3 linked regions of the Sus scrofa genome follow. The protein of the gene in region 1 interacts with the protein of each later gene in a pairwise test. Links are inferred from orthologs where the notes say so. Each region holds a gene or a part of one and is shown in the gene's direction. Other genes may lie near its edges.

Region 1 (4,154 bases):
TCAGCCGTCACAGACCTCCCCCTTGGGAGGTCCCTTCCTGGGGTCGTCAGACTGGAAGACGTAGGTCTCCTCTTCTGCCAGTAGGCAGGACCTGACGGGGACTGGCCTCGGGGCCTTACCTTATTCCGGAGCTTTAACTAGTCTTGCTTGGGAGTTGGTCCGTCTCTCCACCGAGTCCGGTTGGGGTTCGGCCATTGGGAGGACTGGAGCACCGCCACGAAGGAGGACCCGAAATACCGTCGGGTGGAGCACCGCCTCGTTCGCCTCCGGAGCTCCCCAGCCTTCCTGCAGCTTCACCGCAGCCCCGGTGGCTCAAAGGGCCAGAACGGTTGGGGTCTCGCTGGGGCCTCCAGAAATGTTACAGCTCCACGTGCAGCACCGACCAGCGAGAAACCAAGCGACACTGGGAGAGGAGGAGAATTTAGCTCTCATACCCGGCCGGCCTGGGGAAGATTGCTCTCCAGAACCCAGGCCCCGAACAGGGGTGCTACAGGCTTTTACAGGCCAGTTCTTCTGGGTCCACGCTTGGAGGGGTGGACCGGAGTGGGAACTGGAGGAGCCGGCGGCAGGGAATGTTCCAGCTTTAGGTGTGGGTCTGTTAGTGGTCACATGATCATGGGGGGGCGCTGAGCAAGCGGGGCTTACAGAAGCAGAACTTGCAGTTGGAGAGGTTTTCCATTAGTAATGTCAGGTTTTCCCTTTCATTCCCCCAGGGCCAGCCCTGGGTTAGGGAGCGTCCGCTCTTCTCCTCCCATCGGTCGGGCAGCCACGCTACCTTTTGTACGGGGTCAGCTCATTGGGCAGATTCGGCAGACGCCCCGCCCTGAGCCCCGAACTGGCCAATTGCAAGGAGTTTCACGGCCTGCCGCGCGCGAGGGGTTGTCACCGTGCTGCGACGCTTCGGGGATCCCTAGGCCTCAATGATCTTTGCTCCCCGGCCCCGGGCCCTAGCCCCAAGGAGACCTCCAGGACCCGTGCCCGGGGAGGTGCCCGCGGGGCATCCGGGGGGCCCTTGGAGATCTCGGCCTCCTGGTTGCCCCGCCGCACGCCGGCGTGTCCTCGGATAGACGCGGGCCCCGCGAAGGGGAGTTTGCAGACGCTCCCTCACATAAGGGACGCGGCTCCTTTAAGGGCACAGGTGTCCAGGGCGCCGCCTGACTGGAAAGCCGCCCCCGGGGCTGGGCTCCCAGGCCTGGCCCGGGGCGCGGGCGCCCGGCGGCGGGGCACGGGCGGCGGGCGGCGCACAGCGACGTGGACGGCGCGGGGCGTGCGGCGGCAGCGGCGGGGCGCGGGGCAGGCGCGCGGCGGGCAGACTCCGCAGGCCCCGCCCCGCCCCGCCCGCGCCGGGGTCCTCGAGCGCTCGGGCTGCGCGCGGAGCGGGCTCGGGAGGGAAGTCCCGAGACAAAGGAGCGCCGCCGCCGCCGCCGCCGCCGCCGCCTCGTCCGCCTCACTCGCCGGGCCGCGGCCGCCCGAGGTGAGCGCGGCGAGACGGGCGGGCCGGGGACCGGGCCTTGTCGGGCTGGGGCCTCCGCCGCCGTCGGGCCCGGCCAGGCGGGCTCCCTCCACCCGCGGCCCGGCCGGGCCCGCTCCCGGGAACCGGCCTGCCCCGGTGTGTTGACGCCGCGGCGTGGGCCGGCCCGCTGGGCTCCGCGGCCCCAGACGGCGGGGGCGTCCACTCGGGCGCGCGCTCGGGGCGGGTCGCATCGCGGCCGGGCCGCAGACGGCGCCCGCCGCTCGGGCTGCGCTGACAGGAGCGCGAGCGGGCGCCGAGCCCTCCGCCGAGGCGGAGCGTTTCCGGGGTCACGGTCTGCGCGCGAACCTGTGGCGTGTGCCAGCCCTGGAGACGACGCATCGCACAAAGAGCGCAAAGCCTCGCGCTGCGGCAGCGCCGGCCCGTTTGGGGGTGGTGTGTGGTGTCTGTAAATCAAAACAAGTCCGAGTTCTTGCGCCTCCGGAGCCTCGGCCGCAGTTGGTGGGACCCTGGGCACCCGCGCTTCCTTTGACGGGGAATTTTCCTCCTGGGACTGCTTTGTACCAAGTGCACGGAGGCTGGAAGTGGTAGTTGAGCCAGGAGCAGGAAGGCCAGAGAATGATTAGCTGGGCTCGCGGTAACGGCCTGCACCTGCCTCTCAATCACAGAATTCACTGGTTTGGTTTGTGTGGTTTGAAAACAAGCTTAGTTCCTCGGGTTGCAAAGTTGTTGTTCTGTGTTTGCAGAGTTGGTGCCCTTTCCAGACCCCTAACCTCAAACGTTTCTTGCTACTAAGGAAAACTTTTTGGGTTGGAAGTCTTCCCACCAGAAGAGGGGAGTGGATCCCAAGTTTTCCCTGACTTGCTCATGGCCCGCCGGGTGGTTTAGGGGGTGAACTCTGCATCTTGTTGCGATAGTCTTGCTCGGGATTTGGGGCCTGGCTGCAGAAACGGGCAAGAACAGGGCGTGCACCTGGGCTGGAGAGTCTCCCGAGTGCAGGGTGCCTGCATCAGGTGAAGCAAATGCCTTCCCCCTGGGAAGCTGATGTTTGGGTGGGAAGGGCCCATCCTGGGCTGCTGATCCTTGCTCACTTTCACCCTGGGCCAACCCGTGAGTTCACAGTGCTGTGGCTTATCGCACAGCTGAGAAGGCTGAGGCTGGGAGAGAGAAGCATCTCGCCCGCATGTGCAGCCAGTTAGTGGCTCTGCAGGCTTTGCTGTCAAATCGCAGCGTGTGATCTAAGAAGAGGGGATTCAGGCACAGCTCACTCTGGAGGAAGGTGGCGTGGAGACTTCCAGAATCTGCCTGGACATCCCAGCTGCTGTCCTGCAGGCTAGCGGTTCGTGGGTATTTCATCCTTGCATCCTAACAATGTCCATCTCTGGAGTGTCTGCTAACATTCAGCTGCTTCGGGTGACTCTTGGTTGGGGAAGGCAGATTTAATTTTAAGTGGGATTCTGAAGGAGTAGCTCCCCTTGTCATTAAAATGTAACAAATTGGGTGCTTTCTCCCGGATAAGGGAAGGCCAGGCCTCTCTGCCTGGGCCTGTGGCTCTTCACCCTTTTGTTGCCTGGTCTGGTCCCCTGGCACCCCTGAGGAAGGGGAGGCAGGAGTTCCTGTGGGACCCCCCCCATTACCTTTGGCGCAGCCACAGCTGGGCTCTGGGACAGCCTGCAGAGGCAACTTTGTCCCTTGTCAGCAGAAGAGGTGGCCTGTGGCCGGGTGCTGGCGCACGGTCAGCAGGCAGGCAGCACTCAGGATGGCCCCCCTGGCCTGGTCTGCATCCTGGACAAGCCGTGACCCCTGCCCTCCTCCCCGAGCAGCCTCAGTTGCCCATTTAGTATCCATGGCTCCTCAGTGTCCACAGTGGTGCCCTGGGCCTTCATGACCCATGGTCAGCGCCTGGCCAGGTGCAGACTCACGGGGAGCAGCCGCTTGCTGGACTCCTGCCTCCGTTAATTCAGACGTGTCCGCCTGCTGCCGCCTTTGCCCTGGCTGCCCAGGGGCTGCAGAGACCCTCCAGATTCCTCAAGCCCTGCGGGAGGGGCAGCCCCACTAGCTGCTGGAGTGGGTGGGGCAGGGTTCTGTTTAGAAGTGAAGGGTTGGGGAGTTCCCGTCCCGGCTCAGAGGTTAACAAACCCGACTAGTATCCCGGAGGATGCAGGTTCGGTCCCCGGCCCGGCTCAGTGGGTTAAGGAGCTGGCGTTGCTGAGCTGTGGTGTCGGCCAGCGGCTACAGCTCCAATTTAACCCCTAGCTTGGGAACCTCCATATGCCACAGGTGCAGCTCTAAAAAAAGACCAAAAAAAGTGAAGGGTTGGAGGCAGTCAAGGGAAGGAAAGCTTTTCAGACTCGGGGTCACTGCCCCCGCCTCCCTTGGGCGGTCCCTGGCCCTCGCAGCCAGTGACCCTCCTGGCTCTTCTTTCTGTTCCTGGTGAGCCCGCCTGGAACAGTCCCTTGCATTGCTGCAGCTTGTGCCCACGCGGGCACCTGACCCTGTAGGACCGGGTGCCTCCCTGCCATCGTCCTGCTTCCTGTGTCCTGGCACCTAGCACTTCCCAGCACACGTCTTCCTCCTGCGTGGGCCTTCTGCACAGCCACAACTCTGTCTCTCCTCAGTTTGTGTTGTGTGAACAGACAGATCCCAGGCGGGGAGTTCCCATTGTGGCTCAGTGGTAACAAAC
Region 2 (3,500 bases), on another chromosome or scaffold:
GGACTTGGGATTATGCGCCGCTCTCTCTTCTCACCCCGATCCGCCTTACTGCATCTGACGTGTTCCCTTCCACTGTCCCCCATCATCGTCTGTCCCCCCTGGCTGGGCGCCTGTGACCGGTGACCCCTCCACCACCCACCCCGCCTCCCTCCGGCCCCCGCTCCGACACCTGGCTTGCTCCGACCCCCCCCGCCCCCCGACAGCAGCACAGCAGCCGGAGAGCCAAGAGTGTAGAGGACGACGCTGAGGGCCACCTCATCTACCACGTCGGGGACTGGCTACAAGAGCGATGTACAAGCCAAATCGTAACAATCCTATAGCCTGTAATGGTCCCATAGCCATCCTAACGTCCCGAGCCAACCCAAGTCACAGCCTCTTTTGCCTTTTCTCAGTGGTGTTGTTTATCTGGGTGGTTTGAGTTGCTGTTGAGAATTGACCTCTGCTGTCCACTCCCAGCTCTCATGGCCCCTGGGTTAAAGGTGGTGGGAATCATGCAGGGGTTTTCTTCCCCTGTGACCATCTGTATCTGTTCCCCCTTCCTTCATCTCCTCACCCCAGGTTGCTGTACCCTTTTTTTCTTCCAACTCAGCTCATTCCCCACCTTCTCTCCCTCCCTCTCCCCGACCCTGCTCTTTTTCATTTCAGATGAAATCATAAGCACCTTGGGAGAGGGGACCTTCGGCCGAGTTGTGCAGTGTGTCGACCATCGCAGGTAATTGGCAGCCCCCCTCTGTACTCCACGCCTGCCAGCTGTAAAGAGGTAGTAAAAGTTATTTGGGGCTTTTTTGCTGACTAGCCAAAAGTAGGATTTCTTAATCCCTGGGTAGCCCTGTTCAATCTGAGATTTTCTTGAGATTCCAACAAAATTTTGTCTTGCCACCCTACAGGGGTGGGGCCCGAGTTGCCCTGAAGATCATTAAAAATGTGGAAAAGTACAAGGAAGCAGCTCGACTTGAGATCAATGTGCTGGAGAAAATCAACGAGAAGGATCCTGACAACAAGAAGTAAGCAAGCAAGCGAAGAAGTGTGTGGGGAGTCTGAGAGGCTCCACCCTGCCCCAGGAAAACCTTCCTGACCTGGGTTAGCCAGGCAGGGAGTTCTAGATCTTCTCATCCATTCATCTTTTGTTCGTCATCTTAGAGTAGTAGATAGAACACTAGGGCAGGAAGGGAGGGTCTGTGATATTCTCAAATCCACTCCCCTTGTTTTCGGGCCGATAGATTGCTCTGCAGTTTGCCTTTGACCCAGGATGGCCTCTTAGGGATGTACCCTGGAAATGGCCCTGAGTCTGAGAGTCAACATTTTCAAAAAAATTAGTTGAACTTTTAATACCCAGAACTATGCTGATGACATTTATGTATAATTTTTCTGTTCACACACATTCCAGAATCTAACTATAGAATAAGAGTATTAAGCAAAGACATAAGACGATAGTTATAAACGTGGGTCCAGTGATGGCTGGTGGTGAGTGAATTTCAGGAGTGGGATCTGGGGTCCGGATGTAGGAGTGGCTGTTTGACCATTCAGAGTCCACACTGGAGCCTGGCACTCAGCAGCTCCTCAGCAAATAGAGTGGGTTTTTTTTTTCTTTTTTTCAACTATTTAAAATGTTTCAGGAAACTGATGTGAGGCTTGGCGGGTAGTACTTCTCTTCTTGGTTCTGCCAGAAAGGCCATTCTCTAGCCAAACTGAATTTTCTTGGTGATAAGAGCTGGCATGGTTTTACACAAATATGTGGAATCGACAGCTATGCAGTCCCTCTTCGTTGGAGGGGTGGTGGGCAGATGGGAGCTCATCAGACATCCCCCTTCCTCCATCTCTCTTCCCAGCCTCTGTGTCCAGATGTTTGACTGGTTTGACTACCATGGCCACATGTGTATCTCCTTTGAGCTTCTGGGCCTTAGCACCTTCGATTTCCTCAAAGACAACAACTACCTGCCCTACCCCATCCACCAAGTGCGCCACATGGCCTTCCAGCTGTGCCAGGCCGTCAAGTGTGAGTGGGGCGGGCCGAGGTGGACTCTGGGGCAGCCCCTCCCTCCATTGGACCTCTTCTGTCTCAGTTTTGTGCACTAGTGAAGCCCCTCAAACAGTCATCTCGATGATGTGCCATTCTTTTATCCACTGTCCTGTTGACATCTCTTCTTCTTCAGACTTATCTCCTTCATCCGTGTCTTCACCATCACCGATTGCTCTTACTCCACATTCAGCCTAGCAGGAGCTGGAAGAGAAAGCATTTCAAACTAAAGCACTTAATTACCTCTTTTTCATTCCCCTTCCTTGGGAAGGTGTAAGTCAAGCAGGAAGCACAAAGAGACAAAAAGATTCCTCGAACTAGAGGTTTACATTTGTTTGAGCTGAGATACTCTCTGTTCCCAGCAACGCAGGCGGGAGTGGGGCGTAATGCAGCCAAGGGGCCAGGAACAGAATTTAGACTGCTCATACTTCTTCCTCTTATATCTTCACAACAGTACTGTTTTCTAGAGCTGAAGTCACAGAAGTCAGACAGATGTCAAAGTCAGTACAACAAAAAAAACCCATAGCACACCATCTATACATTGGTTGAGAAATACACATGTATTGTCCATTAATGAGTGTAGGGCTTCTTAGACCAGGCATTTCATTTGGATGTAGAGCAGTAAACAGCCTGGTAATTCTGGATCTGCCTCCTCACCAGCCTTGAGCTAGGTGACCAAGCCGGGGGTCAGCCGGTGCCAGTTAGCCCTGGCCACATGGACCAACCCTGACCTGGCCTTCTCCTCTGCAGTCCTCCATGATAACAAGCTGACACATACGGACCTCAAGCCTGAAAACATTCTGTTTGTGAATTCAGACTACGAGCTCACCTACAACCTAGAGAAGGTAAGGCAGACAGGGTGTGCCCCTTAGCCAGGGAGGGTGCAGGTGGCCGTGCCACTTTGCCCTTCTCTTCGCCCTTTCTGTCCTCCCACATTTTTAAGTTTCTTGGTTTGGGCTTCCTTCTTTTTTCTGTAAGGGAAGCTCAGCTCTGCTCCCTTGACTTAAGTGGAGATCATGGAGATCTCAGCTGAGGCAGCTCTTCCTCACTTGGCTACCTCCTGTGCATTTTCAGGAACACTACCCACCAGTCGCTTGGGCATACTCTTCAGATGCACAGACTTGCATGCTATTCCATAGTTAGCCCTTGATCCTGTTCCTGCCCCACTCCTAAAGTACTTTGCGGGATGTGGGGGAGGCTGTAAAGGAGGAGACGTTTCAGCATGTGTGGGGAGCAGGCAGGAGGTCAGAATTGCTTTGTTTTAAGGCTCAGAAGCACTTTAGAGAATAGTGCTAGAATCTCAGTCTGTTCATTCTTTCCGTCTCACTGCAGACGGAGGTTCATTCTCCTCCTGCTTTATTCCTAGAAGCGAGATGAGCGAAGCGTGAAGAGCACAGCTGTGCGGGTGGTAGACTTTGGCAGTGCCACCTTTGACCATGAACACCATAGCACCATCGTCTCTACCCGCCACTACCGAGCACCA
Region 3 (2,318 bases), on another chromosome or scaffold:
TAACCACTGCGCCATGACGGGAACTCCTGGGATTTTTTAATAGAAAAGAATGCTGTCTAGTAACTTGAAAACATTACTGACTTACTGCATATATCATTTGTTTAAAAATAAATATCATGAGTGTTTGTCATAAGATTAATTTTTGCTTTTTGTTTTGTTTGCTTATAATAGACGCCTTCCCTGTATGCACCTTTTCCACCAAGTGTGTGTTGACCAGTGGTTGATTACCAATAAGAAGTGCCCCATATGCAGAGTGGACATTGAGGCCCAGCTGCCAAGTGAGAGTTGACACCATGTTTCAGAACTCTTGCCCTCCCTCTCATTCCCACCCTCCTGGTACTGCAGTCAACCAAAGATGGCATGACTTACCTGCGCAGATTTGGAAGCCTTGAACTTAGAGTGCTGGCTCTGCTATATGGTACAACTAATGCTAGACGTACAGTTTATGTATACAGTTGATTTTGATGTATTTATAAAAGCCTTTTTTTCTAGATTTGACATTTTTCCTGTATCATTTTACTGTATTTTTGCATGGTTCCTTGTATTGCATTTCTTTGCACATATTATGGGCTTGTGACCCTAAACTTGCAGGCAAGATTAGCTGCTTTAGTAAGTAGAATTTTGTGGTCTTTTTGTTTTTTACATAGTACCAGGTCTTGAGAATTATGAATTTTTTTATCCATTACTAACGTTTAATTTAATCAATCATGTACTTTAGTTTAATGTATAAAAATCCTCTAGAAAATGATAATATTGTATTAAGACATTCCTTAATTAGGACACAATGGCTGCTGTATATTTACAATATGGAGTTCTGAGTTAAATACCATCCTTGATACTGGGAACAGAGTATAAACCATTTTCAATCAGATGCAGGTGGTATTCACATCACCAGAGTGATCAATAGAAATTTTCTTGGTGTATCCTTTTCCTTTCAGCACAATGCAGATAGAGTTGAATATTGATATCATACATTTAGACTGCTGTTCTGATTGTATTTATCGTTTCCTACATTGTTTAGAACTTTTATTTCCCAGATTCAATTTTTGCTGCTGTGAAACAGCTCTGATGAACACTAAATATTAATTTCAATTAGCTGGATTGTATATACTTGCAGATTTAACAAAATTTTAGGGAAATCGAAGAAGACATGTAGAATTTTTCAGTCTTCTGCTAAGCACGTATAGTAAAGATATCTGCTTGTGTTGAGTTTTGTAAACACATTTAGTCAGGATTTAGAATTGCAGTCACTGGCAGGTATCTATGCATTCATAGAACTTCTAAAGGTCCCAGGATCACTTTTAAAGGGATTTTTATTAGTTTAAAGATAAATAAAGTCAGCTGAATCTACATGTCTCTTGTTTTATTTCTCTTCAAACTTGAAAACAGTAAATCTGCAGATACTGTGAGGCACAAATTATGCTGTCAACCTACTGTTGCTCTGGTTTTAGATTCCCACTTCGTACATTACCAAGAGTCGATCACTGATTTAAAATTTTTAATTTCTATAGTTAAGATTTACTGCATAATATAGAATATTAAAGTTAAGTTAATGTACTAACATTTCTCCTTTGGAGAAAGTTTTAATCCACTTCAGGATGCATATATCAAGATACTTTCATATACAGGATAGCCTAATTTTATTTGTCTAAATATGCTTAATATGCCCCAGATTGCAAATGCATCAGTCAGTAACATCACTGTCTGTATGTGGAAGACATGTTCCCATGAATCATATGTGAAGATGTCAATAAGCTTGCATTAAGCCACCTGCTTTGTAAGTGGATTGATTAATAAATAACTTATATTTCTATTGTCTTTGTGTTTTCATAGTTTGTTTTTATAAAACCATTTATATTAAACATTTGGAATTCAAAAATAATGATCTCATTCAAGTTGACATTTACATAATTTGATGGTTGTTACTCAGTTATGGCTTCTTGTCTTTTATTAATATTAGTAAATAGTTACTCTGTAGTAATTGTCAGTATCAGGTGCTTGAACATAATATGTGGAGAGATGGAAGATGGACTATGGTTAAGAAATTTGGATATGAAATAACATTTTTAAAAAGAACATTTGATGATTAAGCTGTAGTTGGTGGGAAGGGGATGAGACAGAATGAGAGAAAAGGAGAGAAACTTTGTATGCCATCTTACTGGGGACAAGAGCTAGTACCAATAGCATGTGACAGATGTAGGGCTTCACCACTATAAAACACAGGGTCTGTGCCAAGGGATAAGATGGGGAGAATTCAATATAATAGAGTCCTCTTGATGCTCCCCTAAACACAAATATAGATAGATTCCTCTGTTTTT

Evidence for each region.
Region 2: the proteins of UBE2I (region 1) and CLK2 interact in a two-hybrid assay, tested with the Homo sapiens proteins (2 studies listed by BioGRID). The two-hybrid records come from large-scale screens. The link is inferred for Sus scrofa from reciprocal best matches to the Homo sapiens genes UBE2I and CLK2.
Region 3: the proteins of UBE2I (region 1) and RNF111 interact in binary tests that used the Homo sapiens proteins (3 or more experiments, as listed by UniProt). The link is inferred for Sus scrofa from reciprocal best matches to the Homo sapiens genes UBE2I and RNF111.

What each region holds. Positions count from the first base shown.
Region 1 is NC_010445.4:40,566,142-40,570,295, reverse strand, and holds the start of UBE2I (SUMO-conjugating enzyme UBC9), read left to right. Parts: upstream 1-1,354; 5' UTR 1,355-1,474; intron 1,475-4,154. UniProt on the Homo sapiens protein: Accepts the ubiquitin-like proteins SUMO1, SUMO2, SUMO3, SUMO4 and SUMO1P1/SUMO5 from the UBLE1A-UBLE1B E1 complex and catalyzes their covalent attachment to other proteins with the help of an E3 ligase such as RANBP2, CBX4 and ZNF451.
Region 2 is NC_010446.5:94,564,785-94,568,284, forward strand, and holds part of CLK2 (dual specificity protein kinase CLK2), read left to right. Parts: intron 1-203; coding exon 204-291; intron 292-645; coding exon 646-712; intron 713-887; coding exon 888-1,004; intron 1,005-1,829; coding exon 1,830-1,996; intron 1,997-2,767; coding exon 2,768-2,862; intron 2,863-3,383; coding exon 3,384-3,500. UniProt on the Homo sapiens protein: Dual specificity kinase acting on both serine/threonine and tyrosine-containing substrates. Phosphorylates serine- and arginine-rich (SR) proteins of the spliceosomal complex.
Region 3 is NC_010443.5:112,960,966-112,963,283, reverse strand, and holds the end of RNF111 (E3 ubiquitin-protein ligase Arkadia), read left to right. Parts: intron 1-171; coding exon 172-289; 3' UTR 290-1,818; downstream 1,819-2,318. UniProt on the Homo sapiens protein: E3 ubiquitin-protein ligase. Required for mesoderm patterning during embryonic development. Acts as an enhancer of the transcriptional responses of the SMAD2/SMAD3 effectors, which are activated downstream of BMP.